Styela clava: one gene and its partner. The protein of the gene in region 1 binds, or shares a complex with, the protein of each later gene. Links are inferred from orthologs where the notes say so. Each region holds a gene or a part of one and is shown on either strand. Other genes may lie near its edges.

Region 1 (7,847 bases):
ATACCATGGAAAATACAAAAATTCCTTCTACAAAGCAAATTTTTCTGGTTGAGAAACGTGCTACTAATGCATATTAAAATGATCTCTTGGGTTTTCCACTGGAAGGAAAAAAAAACTAATTGTGGATTATTCTAAGTTTAAACGACTATTATACCTGATTCATCGGGATTTTTTCACCTTGAGCAACTCGAAGTTGCCATTCTACTAAGTCAGTTGAAGATATCATTTCCGTCACAGGATGTTCAACCTGAATAGGAAGAAAAACACTCAGGCAAACTAATAAAAAATTACTACTCTGAAAATGTATGTTACATTCTGTCCAATTGCTTTCTCAATTGGCTCATTAAACATGTCATGTAAATGGATTTGTTAAAATTTGCGATGTTCATAAAATTAGTGAGAACACCTGGATAAGATACTTAAAAAAAAACAATAAGTCAAATTGGTCCTGCCCAGTTTTCTCTCAAGTCATTGTGTATCCCAAAACGATTCCAATTACACAAAAATGAAATGATTTCCATGCTATTCCCATTAAAAGGAAGTTTGCAATACTAAACATTGAAACTATACCAACCTGTAATCTGGTATTCATCTCCATAAAAAAAAAATTTTCATTAGGGTCCATAACAAATTCCACCGTTCCTGCTCCAACATATCCAACAGCCAGAGCAGCACGCACTGCTGCCTCACCCATTCGTTTTTGAGTCTTTTCTAATATATTAGGAGCAGGAGCCTCTTCTATAATTTTTTGATGCCGCCTTTGAACACTGCAGTCTCTTTCAAACAAATAAACAGCATTTCCATGACTATCCCCGAATACCTGTTGATAATATATAACACAATATATAACAAAACCATGATCATGAAGATCATTCGCAGCACAAACATTCTAGCAATATTGTGGTTTTGGTAATCTACTATAGATTTGATAGTATTGAACTTGGTACTGTGTTAACATTGACAATGCAATACCTGAACTTCAACATGTCTTGGTCTTTCTACAAATTTTTCAATCAAAACTATATCATCATTGAAAGATTTTTTGGATTCACGTCTTGCTGACTCAAGTTGTTCCTGAAATTCACTTTCTGTTTCTGCAATTCTCATTCCCTTACCACCTCCGCCTCTAACTGCCTTGATCATGACAGGAAATCCAATTTCTTGTGCTTTTTTCAGTAAAAAAGAATCATCTTGGTTTTCTCCATGATAACCTTAATACATAATAAATGAAATACCAATAAAAATTTGCATCTGAGGAAGTTATCAAGGTAAAAATGTTAGCATAGAAATTAGTTACAAAGCTGAACACTCTACAATACCTGAATGAGATTTTGTGTTTAATTTAGTTGAATAATCAATCGTATATTGGGAAGAAGTAATTGATGAAAGAACGGAAAGATCTTGTAAACATGTCAGACTCAGATTACCATTTAAAAAAAAAAATTAGGGTATTCATTTTTCAAAATAAATATCTTGATTAAAAATATAGTTCATTTGCTTTATACAATAAGTTTTCAGATTCTTCTAGCTAGGTCGTTTACAAACAAGATATGTAGGAGACTGAAATGTTATGAAGACTAGGTCCATCCTGTACAAACGTATATCAGTGAACATTATTTCCATATTTCATTGCAATAAAAATACCTTCAATAATGGGTACTCCTGCAGATGACATAATCTTCTTAGATGTGCTTTTTATACCCATGTCCCTAATTGCAGATGAAGGTGGTCCAACAAATATTACACCTTTACTTTCACAAGCATCAGCAAATTCAGCATTTTCTGAAAGAAACCCATAACCAGGATGAACAGCCTCAGCGCCACTTGTGCGAATCACCTGAAAAGATATTAATATTAAAAGACTACCAATAATAAATAACCTCAACAATAGGGGTTTGCATTGGCTTGATAATCACATTTATCCATATCCTCAAAATTGCATTGTACTAAAAGTCCGGTATATATAAATGATACAAACCCCATTTCACACTTTATTCTAATCTACAAAATTAAAGAGTCATTGCCATTGATGTATGTGAAAATTGAGATATGTTGCACAACTAAAAACAATTCATATGAATTAATTTTTTATAGAGAAATTCATCTGTTCTTGTGTGGTGCAGAAAAGGTAAAATCATAAGGAATTTAATATATTCTATACCATACACTTTCAATAGAATTGAATTAAACATATCAAATAATAAAATAATTTACATTAAATATATTTTCCGTATTTAGATAGCTAAGCTGCGAGGCTGCAGGTCCAATACAATATGCTTCATCTGCCACTTCAACATGTAGTTGATGTTTGTCAGGCTCACTGTAAACTGCTACAGTTGAAATTCCCATTCTAAAATAAATAGAAACTAAGCTTCATCAAATCAAAATCTCCAAACAATTCCTGATACAATATTGTAAAAAATATAATATAAATGTTATGCTGAAGGTGTATTGCACTCAGTCCATATAATGAACAAATAAGTAAATTTTAGGTATGACGATGTGATATTGCATTCAAATAGAATCAAAGCAAGGAAACAAACAAATGTATCAAATCTTTGGCAAATTTCGTAATTGAGACACAGATTACCTTTCATCTTTGATAATAATGCTAGCAGTCCTGTTAGTACTCAGGTGTAGATGTAAATTGTACTAACCATTAATAATAAGACATATAGAAGATGACACCATGCATTCTGATTTATCTTACCTTTTTGCGGTCTTCATAACTCTACATGCTATTTCACCCCTATTAGCTATTACTAGTTTTCTTATATTTCGAGTCGACATTTCATTCTCCAGTTGCACATTTTTCGAACTGCTCGAGTACCATAAAGACCCATGTTTATTCTGATAAGCACCACGATGGATGTTGGTAGTAAAGTTTTTTAGACGAACACGAAATCGATGCATGGTCAGGTGTCTTTCATCCCACAGTACTGCAGATTGTATTCAGATATTTGTGTAAAAACACATTATAATACTGTAATAGAAAATAACACCTAGAAATCAGGAAATACCGGTATTTAATTTACTCTAGTATCGTACAGTATTACCGTATGTCTGTACCGGTATGCACGGTACCGACTGGCTAAGTGCAACCAAAGTGCGTAAGTGAAATCCCGTTGTTTGCAGAAAATTCATTGCTGCGATGCTAAATAAACAATGCCTTCTTCCTAACACAGAAACTTCTGAACTTTCATGAAGCCAGCGAAGTCCATGCACGTACCGGTACCGATATGTCCTCACTACAATGATTACGGTAGACTGTGTCCTTTCTAAAATCTCGATATGTCCATACTAAAAAGGCAATGTCCCGTCTAAAATCACGATGTGTTCCTACTAAAATGGTTATGCCCATACTAAAATGGCTATGTCCTCACTAAAATGACGATGTCCGCTATGCAGCTACGGTATGTCTGTAGTCTATGTCCTTTCTAAAATCCCGATATTTCCCTACTAAAATAGCTAGACTATGTTTCGACTTCCATGATCCCGATATTTTTCTACTAAAATGGCTAAGTCCCCACTATAATAACGATTTCCGGTACGGGTAGGCTACCGGTACCGTATGTCCCTAATGGAATGGCTACCGGTATGTCTCTTCTAAAATCGCGATCCCCGATATGTTCCTACTAAAATGGATATGTCCTCTCCAAAATCGAGATCCCGACATGTTCCAGGTTCTAAGCCCCCACTATAATAACGATTTCCGGTACGGGTACCGTACCGAATGTCCCTAATGGAATGGCTACCGGTATGTCTCTTCTAAAATCGCGATCCCCGATATGTTCCTACTAAAATGGATATGTCCTCTCCAAAATCGAGATCCCGACATGTTCCAGGTTCCTACTAAAATGGCTATAACCGCTGTCCCCAATGAAATGGCTATGTCCCTTCTAAAATCGCGATCGCCTATATTTCTCTCGCTTTCATTTTGGGTTAAAAATGTGTCTCTCATAGAATGATCGGTGGAAAATGATTGGCTATTTCATGCATGATCATAACTGAAAAGTTATTATCCAGAGTAACATTTAATATAACGTTTTCGAGTACACAATGAGAAAAAAGCAAAATTAGTATCAACAGAAAACGGTAGTTCTATAAATAGAATCAATTTGAATCTGGTGAGTTGTTGATCACAGAAACATGGTACAGGTAGCTCGAAGCGATAATGTCTTCGAAGTAGTCCCGAATTTGTGACCTTCCCAAATTCAAGATTGAACTTCTCGGGTAACAATTTTATCTATATTGATGGTTGTTTATCATTTTGCTGAAAATTAGACAAAAAACCTTAATCCATTAGAATTGACTAAATAAGGTATTGAGAGTCTCTGTAAACATAATTATTGAAAATATCAGCAGTATTTCACATGTAACTGCACATACATTATCACAATATTGAAGGATTTTATCATTATTCACTTTAAAATATATCAATTTATAATTTTCCAATGCCCTTATTAACATATGCCCACAGGTATATTTAAACACGTCAGATTTACAATTCTTTTTCCTGGAAAAGGCTAGACTGATATTGAAGTCCCAGGAAAAGTTACTGAATAACATTTGTTCAGGCATCATGAAGTTGTTAAATAAAGTCTTACTGTAATAATAATAGATATCCAAATGAAACTACAGTCTCACTACGAAATCCATGTTTGCCAGATCCCAGTGATCAAAAAAGCCAGGTTATAACACAAAAAGCACTATGATTTGCACCCATTTCAGGCAAACACGTTTAAAACTTTGTTCAAAAACAATTTCAGCTCTTTTCTACCAATTTCAGTATTTTTCTGCCTTGTCAATAACCTAATTCAACAATATTCCTAGAAAAAAGATTGGGCAACAAACAATCTATTGAAACTATCTACCCTTGAAGCAAATTGCGTGTATTTTTCCAGTTTGTCACCTTCACTGCCAAATATGAAAACAAAATTTAATCGCGACAGATAGACAACACACAGATAAAATATAGGATATTTATTGCACAAGATAAGTTTCCATAATAATTTCAGTCCTTATATTTGATATGCAGACTTTGAACATCGATATATATGATCATCAGACATGATTGAAAGATTCCCGAACATGTTGAAACACAAAATTTTGTAGAAATGAGAAAACTGCCATAAAAGTTTTTTTTTTCAAAATTTCTTGCGGACGTTTTTGATTTCGTCTGGACTGAATTGCAGTATTGTAGTGACGGCTCCTAGCATTCGCGATTTTGCTGACTGGTTCCGGTTTGTTGTCAGGTATTGGTACATGACATTCTTAAGGTACTCCAGATTCGCATTTTCTCTGGACCTGTAAAATTAGCTCAAAAGATAAAATTTGCTGGTATCAATAATCTATTCTAAATGTTTTAAATCAAGTCGCGTTGGGTCCATAAGAATTGGTTTTTAGAAAATATGCCAAAACAATCTGATAGAATGCCACATGGTGGTGCGTAAGGTACGAAAGAAAAAAACATTGGGAGAAAAAATCATTAAAACTACAAAATAAATTGGTCAATCAATTAGCTGATGAAAAAAAAATGATTTCCGGCACGGCATACATATTTATTATTTATTTCATAGGACTGTAATGTTCAAATCTTAGTTAATATTTGTCATACTTGCTTCTATCAAAATTCGCAATTTTCTCCTGAAGTTCTGCAATTCCTCTTGAGTTCTTCTCATCTCTGAATATTAATAATCATAGATTAAAATGAAACCGGCTAGCTTCATTACTATTTAGACTACTTTGTATTTTTCTCATTTGCACTACTGAAGTTGACAGGTTCATAAAATTCTAACTCATGTAAAAACTTTGTACATGCTAGTATCCTAACATTAGGTAAAAATGCTAACATCCATTAAAGTACATACAAGGAGTAAAGCATGAACCCAATAGACTGTAAATATAATAGGGTAGTAAGTGTGATACTAACACCCTGAGAATTTATCAACAATACTATTATTAGAAAGCTGACTTAATGAAGAAATACACACTATTCAAGAGTAATCATGTGATTCGAAAAATACACATAGAATGATTGAAATTACAATTTACAAAGGTGGCAAGTTAATTGCATACTTAGTCATGATGGCATCCTGCAATTGCCTTATTTGTAACTCTAATTGTTTTTTATGTCGTCTAAGACCATTTATCAAAACATCCTTTCTTGCCATCTGCTCAGCATAATGGATCATTGTTGTGTCATGCATGGAGCCCTAGAAATAATATCATGTTATATATATGTCGAAACATTTTTTTCTCTGTTGAACAAGGGGAATGTTACAATATTTGCACAAAAATGAAATGAATAATAACTGATCTTCTTCAGGATATTTATTCTTTCACTAAAAAAACTATTGATCCTAAAGTGGGCCCCCATTGGACCAAATCTATTAAAAAGATATATAACCTTGTTGCATATCAATATCAATTTTTCCTACAAAAGATCATCACTAATCAATTACATATCAATCTGAGTCCATTTTCTCTATTTCCTAATCGAATAAAAAAAAAAATTGGCCAGGTGATTGATATTGAAAAATATGATACAAAATGAATATAGTAAGATTCTTAATTGAATCTTATTAGATGACATAGTATAGTGTCACAAAAAGCTTTGGCTTGTCAACCAAACGTAAACATCAAACCACGATGGCAGAAATGAGTATTAACGTCATTTATAATTTAATGTACCATTATACTTTTAACCTGATTCACTATTTCGAAGACGGAATCTTGTGTTTCTTTTAATTTATCATGTCCATAGTGAGTATTGTCACTACTAGTAGATGTTTCTTGATTGGGTTCACCAATTCCGCCATATTCCGACTGATACTCTCTAAACATCCAAATATGAACAGTGACAAAAGTGAGAGAAACCCATGTTACTTTAGATGTAATCTGCACCCACCTATGGCAAGCAGTAGAATAGGCTTGTAGACTTTGAATTTCCTTGTCTTTTTCTGCCAATAACATAACTGTTCTTTCCCTCTGTGACCTCATTTCTTGCTCTAAATCGAGTACTCTTGCAGAATAATTTTCTTTTTCCAATTTCAATTCATTTTGATGGGAAAGATGACAACGTAACAATTCTTCACCTTGCTCTTTTATCTAGATTGATATAAATGACATCTAATTTCAATATTTTAAACCAAAGGAGTGCAAACTGTGGTCCGCGGGCCAAATGCGGCCCATAAGGAAAAATTGTGCATCCGGCAGAGGAGTGGCAATCAATAACCAAATTTTTTGAGCATTCAACTACTTGACTGCTTAATGAATTTATGGTTGTTTTGTTACTTCTTCGTCGGCACTCAGTGCATCTGCTTCGTTACCAAAAGACGTAGCTAATTTGCTTCATTGGGCGATTTGTTCTCCGGCGTTAAATCGGATGTTTAACAAGTATGGTATTGATTGCCAAATTATTTATTTTGAATGTACGACCTAGATTTATGTAACACAACTTTGCATTTAAATATGAAAAAGACTGTCAATTTCAAATAATTCCTCACCAATTTATTTTGTTGCTCTTCCAAGCCATCGCAATGTGATCGGAGATGAAAATGCCTCTCTCTAACTTCTTCTAATTCATTTTTTAATTCTTGAAACTGTCGTTGTGTGAACATATTTGTTACATTCTCTCCACTGGTAATGCCAGTTTCCCGCTTTGCTTTCAAGACATTCTGGGCTCGTACCTGATATGCGAAATGGAAACGTCACACTTAACTTATGCTTCAGAAAATCGCAAGCAAGGAACAATGCATATATAGACAAAATTAGGCGCTCATGTAGTATGTGAACCAAGATGGCGGACACCAGAATATAGTATGTGTACCAGGTTAGGGTTAGGT
Region 2 (7,681 bases), on another chromosome or scaffold:
CTGGCATGATATGATTGATGATGTCTATTTAAATAAATAGCAATGCCCTTTTGTGCACCCCGAAAAAGCTTGAGAAACTCAGCACTACCATTATATCCCAATTTCAAATCTTCATGCTGCTGCCACACAAGCAAACTGCCGAAAATAAAACAGAATTCACATTTACTACTTTTAATAAAGCTTCGAATATTTGTAAGAAATAAATAAAACATTACAAGTATTTTACTAAATATTCACTCAATTATTTAATGAACAAATATTAAAGTGTAAAGCACATGATCCATAGAACGATTCCAAAATCAGAAAAACATTTATTGTTCAAGTTATAAGAAAAATAAATAGTTTGAATTATGAAACATTGTATGTCACCTACTAGGAAATACAATAATGGCACAGTTTTTCACTGTATTTGCAAGGTTTTTGGAGGGCAGAATAAGAATTATATAATTTGATTTACAGCCTATTTTTTGAAACTGGAAATTGACAAGCACAAAAACGATGCAATGTTTACAACCATGCTCGAAGCGGCTGCACAAATTGCCATTGTCACATCATCGTTGACTTATTGCTGATTGGTCATGGTTCGGAAATAAACAAGGAAATCTATGCTCTGGAGAAACGTCCATTCATATGATTTTGGCAAGACCAGGCCTGTCTAGTAAGAGTTACGTTGCACACGTATTCTCAAAGTTAAAATTTTGTCTAATTCAATTTACCCAGCTGCATAAACTGACTGTTTTTGTTTCGTTTATGGTGGTAAACCAGACACAAAAAAATTTATGTTATAATCCTTGTAAGTGCAAGAATAAAAATAACAAGTGTTGCCAAACATGAACCAACTATAAGGTGTGGAATTTGGGCATGATTAATCAAAGTAACATGCATGGCGAGGGATAATTGATTCCCCTAGAGGCAAATTTCCTAAGGCAAGGTAAAAGAGACCAACTTTGAACAAAGTTACAAGAAACCATTAAAATTTCAAGAGATATTGAAACTATATAGTATTATACATCATAGTGACGCAATTTTTGACATAGTCAGGTGGGGGTTAGGAATAACACATGCAAAAATGGTTGTGCCACGCCAACTAAAAGCACATACATCGTGTTATGAACATGGCCAAAATGTCCATGTTTAGAGGAATTTCTATTAGGGTGAAATTGGGCTTTCTCAGAGAAAAAGTAGGAGAATAATAAAAGTTTTAAGTGAAATCAATCTTTTTGAAGTGAAATTAAAAATTTTGAGATTCTAAAATACCAACGTTGCTTCTATTACATCCTAAAAACTCCGAATTTCGTATTTGGTATCTGAGCGTTCAGAGTTGCATGTAGACTCAGTCCAACGACCATTCTTGTATCAGTCGGATCAATAACACCATCATCCCAAAGTCGAGCGCTCGAAAAATATGGATTCCCTTCCTTTTCAAAACGAGATATAATCGGGTCTTTCAATGCTTTTTCCTCCTCTGCTGAAAAAGTTTTTCCTTCACGTTCTCTTTGATCTTTTGTTATTGTTGCTAAAACCGTTGCGGCTTGCTCTCCCCCCATCACAGAAATTCGTGCGTTCGGCCACATGTATAAGAACCTAGGACCGTAAGCCCGTCCACACATTCCATAGTTGCCAGCACCATATGATCCCCCAATTATGACAGTGATTTTCGGAACTTGAGCGCATGCAACTGCTGTCACCATTTTTGCTCCGTCCTTTGCAATGCCGCCCTCCTCTGCCTCTCGACCAACCATAAATCCGGTTATATTTTGAAGAAATAAAAGCGGAATTTTACGTTGACAACACAACTCGATAAAATGTGTTCCCTTTAGTGCTGATTCAGAAAACAAAACACCGTTGTTTCCAATAATCCCAACAGGAACACCGAAAATACGAGAAAATCCACAAACTAATGTATCCCCGTATAATTTCTTAAATTCGTGAAATTTACTGCCGTCAACGATCCTGGCAATGACCTCTCGTACATCGAAAGTCCGTTTCAAATTGCTTCCAACGATTCCGTAAAGCTCTTCAGGGTCGTATAACGGATCTTCCGGTGCTTTTAAAGTCGTTGTAACATCTTTCTCTCGATTTAAATTTTCGACGATTCCTCGTGCAATATGTAACGCGTGTGCGTCATCCAACGCATAATGATCAGTCACGCCTGAATGCTTGCAATGCAAATCAGCGCCACCTAGATCTTCTGGTGACACTTTTTCACCTGTCGCTGCGTAGACCAATGGAGGACCTCCAAGAAAAATTGTCCCTTGTTTTTTTACAATCACGCTTTCATCTGACATCGCGGGCACATAAGCGCCACCTGCTGTGCACGAACCCATTACGACAGCAATCTGAGGAATTCCTTGCGCTGACATGGAAGCCTGATTAAAAAATATTCGTCCGAAATGATCACGATCTGGAAAAACATCTGCTTGTCGAGGCAAGTTTGCACCGCCTGAGTCAACCAGATATACACAAGTTAAATTGTTTTCTTTAGCAATTGTTTGAGCCCTCACATGCTTCTGTACTGTGATAGGATAATATGCTCCTCCTTTTACTGTCGCATCGTTTGCGATGACCATACATTCCTGCCCCATTATTCGCCCAATTCCAGTTATAATCCCCCCCGCCGGGACTTTTTCTTTTCCATATAAATCATACCCAGCAAGTTGTGAAAATTCTAAAAATGGAGATCCAGGGTCCAACAATTCTTGGATTCGTTCTCGTACTAGTAATTTTCCTCGCGATGTATGTCGGTTGCGAGCATTCTCATCACCACCGTGTGAAATATTTTCAATGTTTTCCTTCAATTCTGTAACAAGTTTTTTCATACTCGCTTCATTCTCGAGAAATATTTCCGATTTTACGTCCGGATCTGACCCAACTGGTAACATAGCTGAATGGTATCTTGTATATAAACCATTACTATGACCCAAATTCCTGTGCAGCAAACTGAAACATTTTTTCAAAACTCTTTGGCACAATGCCATAACGCTGTAATTCGTATCACAACACCTAGATTACAAAACTGCAATACAGAAAAAATTGAAGATGAAAAAAGCACACATAAGAAAGCATGAACAGTGAGTAAACTCTGAATAACAGAATAAGCTTTTCAAATTTATTTAGGAACAGGAAAGACGATTTCATGACTTGTTAATCATAAAGCAACCTATGGTCCAGTAACTAACCAGCCCATGCAGTACAGCAGTAAGGCGAAATTCTTAAATTTCAAGATTCTCGATATTCTGACAGTGGTTTCACTAGAGGTATTTTTCTCTGAAATGAGGGGGTCTGTCACAAAATATGCTAGTCTCTATAATAAATCAATCGTGACGTGCATCCATCGTCACATGCTGACATGAATGACCAAAAGTGCGTTTTTTTTTCTCTAAAAACTCTCGAATGCTATGGTAATATTTTTTCCTTTGGTAAATTGTATAATTTTTTGGGGGACTTCAATTGAGACAGTTCTAGATTGCGCTTTCTTTTACTTTATTGCGCATTTGATTCGAGTCGATATGGAGACCAAGGCTCTCTCGTATTGAAGTGGTTGCTAGTATGATATGACTAATAATTTTTATTTCATCGTCTTTTATTAGTGATAATTCCCATTTTCTTCTTTATTTGAAGTGCCAAGCATATGTCAGTATGTAGGGATCAAACTCTTGCGACTCCTTTTAATACAGTAACACCGTACTACATATTAGGTACAGTATTAAACGTCATTATTAGGTTTACTAGTTATGTAATTGCATCTTGCATTTTCCGAATAACCGGTACCGGTACTTACCAACATTCAAAGTTAGGTACCGTTACCATCTTGATTATCAGCTAAAATACAGCCTTAGAATAGGGTTGGATTTTACATATTTATCCCGGGGGAGAGGAAAAAAACTGCAAGTCTGGTTGTGTTTCAGATATTTAAATATATCAAATAATTCAATGATCACTTTGTCTTCTTAGGAGTTTCAGTTTAATTGCAGTAATCAAAAATATCCTATCCTAGTGTAGAAATAGCTGTTATAGACTAGGCTAAAATTCTTTACCGGTACTTTTAAAAAACAAATTGTTGAATGCTATGAGTCAGAATGATGGTTTGAAACAAAAATACCCCGGTCAACTGACAAAACCACTCTTAAATAAGCACCGAAAATTTTCACTGTTAAAGTATAGGAAGAATTTCACGGGGGTCAAAGGACAGGGGGAAGTTCAAAAATCGCGTTATCCGATCACATATCATTATCATGGTGCTTTTACTTGACGGCATCCGGAGACGAAGCCATAAAGTTTTACGCGCTTATTCGGCGCGTGGAAGGTCACGCCTATTAGTCGTCGTTTTTTACACATTCCAAAGCAGGAGGTTTCGACCCGCAGAACCATGGCTACGCCCCTGGGCACATCGTGCTAATCGTTGGGAATACGCTCGCCGTCGCCATCTGATTTCCTTGCGGGGGTTCGGAGCTCATGCGGGGTAAATTTCATGCGAGAGGATTACTGGATGCAAGAAATTTAAATCACCTTAAATAATCACTTTCGTCTTGTTGAACAGCTCAATAGTACAGGCTTTGGTTTCAAGGCAAGTTGAAATTAATTAATATTGAAGTTGGGGGAAATGGGTCTCTTGTACGAAGCGCCCGCCACTAATGCAAAAATGTTAAATTTAAGAAATGCACTCTCTGCTGAAATTCCGAATTAGTATTTAGTTGGGGTTCGGGATAAGAATGATGTGATATCACAGTTACTATTTCCATTTTCTTGGATAGTATCGAATTTAATGGACCTTTCCCCGAGCATTGACTTCCTTGTTCACTTCGTGACATTGGCCAATCAGCAAGATGCAAAAAGTGACGTAACAATGCCCCCTTTTCGCATTCGCTCAGACACTTTTCTCACTCAGACAGATTTTCAAGCGTGGTTGTAAACATTACCTCGTTTTCGCGATTTTGAACTCTATTCGTTAGTTTTCAGTTGTGTTCAGGAAACTTAAATATAAATCAGATAATTCAGTGATCACACTGTCTTCCTAGTAGCTTTAATTTAATTGCATCCAAACTTTTGAATTGTAAAAATAATACCAATATGTTTTCCCATTGCCGGTTCAACAGTGTCAGACACCATGGATCTTTCCCCGACCTTTGACCCTCGGACAATTCTCCCTATACTTTACCATTGCAAAATTTTCAGAGCTATTTTAAGAGTGCTTTTGCGAGTTGGCGCCTCTAAAATGGGGTATGTGTTTCAAAACATCATTATGATTCATCGCATACAACAATCTGTTTTTTAAAAGAACCGGTAAAGAATTTCAGGCTAGTCTATCACAGCTATTTTTACACTAATTTTTATTACTGCATTTTGAACGAATGTTTAAAATCAATCTAAATTTTTCCACGAGCAGGAAGAGAACAAAATGCCTTGGTGCGGCCCGCAGTATTTCTATATCTGGTTTATGGCGAAGATTTGAGCTCTTATTTAGAGACTATGGTAGCGCGGAATTCACGGCCTAAGCCTTTTTCACTAATTTTAAACAATTTCCAAAGTATTTTCACAGCCGAGCTCTCTCGTACTCAATTGCACAAAAATACAACTTAACCGCGAAAGCAATCGAATAGAATGCAAATAACAACAATATCCAAGCATTGAGGTAGGTTTTCGTGAAATATTTTCGGTGTGATACAGAATTATGGGTCACCTTTAATCACCATTATTATTTTATCATTATACCCCCAGTGTTATTGTGCTAGGTACAAACAACAGTGGCGTGTCTGGGTAAAGTGGAGACCACGACAAAAATTTAAAATGCGAACCCAGTCTTTGAGAAACAATCTGCACGTTTTTTAAAGAAAGGCTTTTGTTAGTGGGTCAATACAGACGAGAAACTTTCGTTTCATTTTCAATCCCATCACTGCCTAATATCGATATCTAATCATATGGTTGAATTACGTAGACGCATTTAGGGTGCGATATACAATTATGGGTTTCGCTTATATAGGCCGGTAAAGATACCAGGGTTAAGTAATTGTTGTGATAACAGTATTGTGTTAATTGGGTACTAACAAGCAATAGAAACACACCTCATCATCACATAAATATGTTTAGATAGCAGAATTTAAACCTAAATAACCCTAACAAAAATATTCAAATCGTAGGGTAGGGTTGGGTAGACATATTTAGGCTATTACAGTTAACTGCAACACACCTTTTTAACAATAATATATACGTGTCTAGTGGGTTTGACAAGCCCTAAAAATTAGATTACGTTTGCCAAGCCGAAGAGGGGCCATTTATATGCCTTCCATAGGCTGATGTGTATTAGTCTGAATGTCATGTATTAACCCGCTACACAGCTGTTAAAGATTGCAATGTGATTCATGCGGCAGACTTATATCTACTTGGAATAGTAAAATATTCTGTACTACCGTCGTGTGTGTACAAGGTTAGGTCATAAGTGTTAGGTCATAATTGTATTCCGATTTATCTTATTTTAGTTCTATTACGAGTTCGGGGACTGTATGTGTTAGCCAAGTGAATATACCCCCTGCCGGTGGTTTCAGTCCGTTTACACAACTTGATGTAAAGTAGGCAACTAAAATTAGTTACCTCCATATTGGTACACATACTTCTGAAGCGCCAAAATTTTCGCTCTGATCAAGGAATTCCTTTTTCTTTTATTTTGCGGAGCTTTTATTCGTAACGCTGTTCCCTCACGAAGTTGACTAGAAATGTTTCTTCAAGTCTGCATTGACCAGTCTATCTGCTGGTATTTTTGTAGCAAAGCTATAAAGTTCATGTACCTTCTTTTATCCATGGGTGGGCAAATTTTACCCACCTAGACCGGCGGGCCATGTAAGTGTGACGTAAAAAGTTACATTTTAGGAACATAATTTACAGTGTTACAAAAGCAAACGGGAAAAACAATACTCCTCGTGCCAAAACTAAATTTAATCGCAATCTCACCAAATTCTTTGGGCTATTTTTTAGCTAAAACATCAAAATTTGATTTTGGTTTGGTTGTGGCCTTAGTTTGCCGATGTCAGTTCGTTCTATACCTTTTGTAGCCTATCTTAGATCGCCCGATTTCTCAGAGATGACTACCTTTCAGTATAATTCCCAGATTTTTTAATGTTAAGGGCGGTGTTTCCAAATTCAGGATGTTGTAGAAATTGTGTTACTGGCAATAAGACTATTTGTAACTTATAAAATTGTGTTTGATATTTGACTTACCTGGACTGGTAAATACGCCACTTTCTAGATATTCAAATACAATTTTATTCACGTTAAGAATTAAAATGCGGATTCACAGCACTTTATTAGGGGAAAGGGGCCGGGTTAAAATTATAGGGGAGGGGGAGGTTAGGGGGTGCACCCTTGGAAGAGGGGTCACTGCGGCGGTTATAATTTGCGGTGCTGATAATTTTTTAAATTACGTAAATGTTAACACGCCAGTTGTCGCTGGGAACCATTCTCTGAATTATCTGTTGTTGCTGAAGACTCGGGACTTTAATCTGAGCATACTTGTCAAAAATCATGATCACATTCAAAATCAAATACTGACTAGATGGATTTGTTTTGTCATAAATGGGTTAATACTCTATTCATGCGTCACAAAGCATGATGAGTCGAACGTTACGGTTGCCTGCTAATGACAACCGGTTATCGTACACGTTTTTAACAAAGCGAAGGTAATTTGTGT

Evidence for each region. The genes of interacting proteins can lie anywhere in the genome.
Region 2: the proteins of methylcrotonoyl-CoA carboxylase subunit alpha, mitochondrial-like (region 1) and methylcrotonoyl-CoA carboxylase beta chain, mitochondrial-like are in contact, whole or in part, in a cryo-EM structure (PDB 8JXM), measured with the Homo sapiens proteins. The link is inferred for Styela clava from reciprocal best matches to the Homo sapiens genes MCCC1 and MCCC2. Residues at the interface, in NP_064551.3 of Homo sapiens: Glu519, Phe526, His531, Asp532, Phe534, Ser535, Pro536, Phe537, Ser538, Ser539, Ser540, Ser541, Gly542, Arg543, Arg544, Leu545, Asn546, Ile547, Tyr549, Thr550, Arg551, Tyr568, Tyr636, Leu637, Ser641, Glu644; in NP_071415.1 of Homo sapiens: Leu56, His57, Val60, Glu61, Lys64, Asp88, Ile91, Pro93, Gly94, Ser95, Pro96, Phe97, Leu98, Glu99, Gln102, Ile123, Gly124, Arg125, Gly128, Glu130, Arg234, Trp276, Leu278, His281, His282, His285, Lys298, Lys299, Leu300, Ile304.

What each region holds. Positions count from the first base shown.
Region 1 is NC_135252.1:3,471,631-3,479,477, reverse strand, and holds the start of methylcrotonoyl-CoA carboxylase subunit alpha, mitochondrial-like, read right to left. Parts: upstream 3,025-7,847; 5' UTR 2,914-3,024; coding exon 2,711-2,913; intron 2,351-2,710; coding exon 2,215-2,350; intron 1,838-2,214; coding exon 1,645-1,837; intron 1,212-1,644; coding exon 973-1,211; intron 821-972; coding exon 575-820; intron 248-574; coding exon 155-247; intron 1-154. Other genes in the region: GRIP and coiled-coil domain-containing protein 1-like, read right to left, coding at 5,148-5,307, 5,618-5,683, 6,079-6,215, 6,709-6,838, 6,911-7,110, 7,509-7,691.
Region 2 is NC_135263.1:886,053-893,733, reverse strand, and holds methylcrotonoyl-CoA carboxylase beta chain, mitochondrial-like, read right to left. Parts: upstream 3,013-7,681; 5' UTR 2,979-3,012; coding exon 1,272-2,978; 3' UTR 156-1,271; downstream 1-155. UniProt on the Homo sapiens protein: Carboxyltransferase subunit of the 3-methylcrotonyl-CoA carboxylase, an enzyme that catalyzes the conversion of 3-methylcrotonyl-CoA to 3-methylglutaconyl-CoA, a critical step for leucine and isovaleric acid catabolism.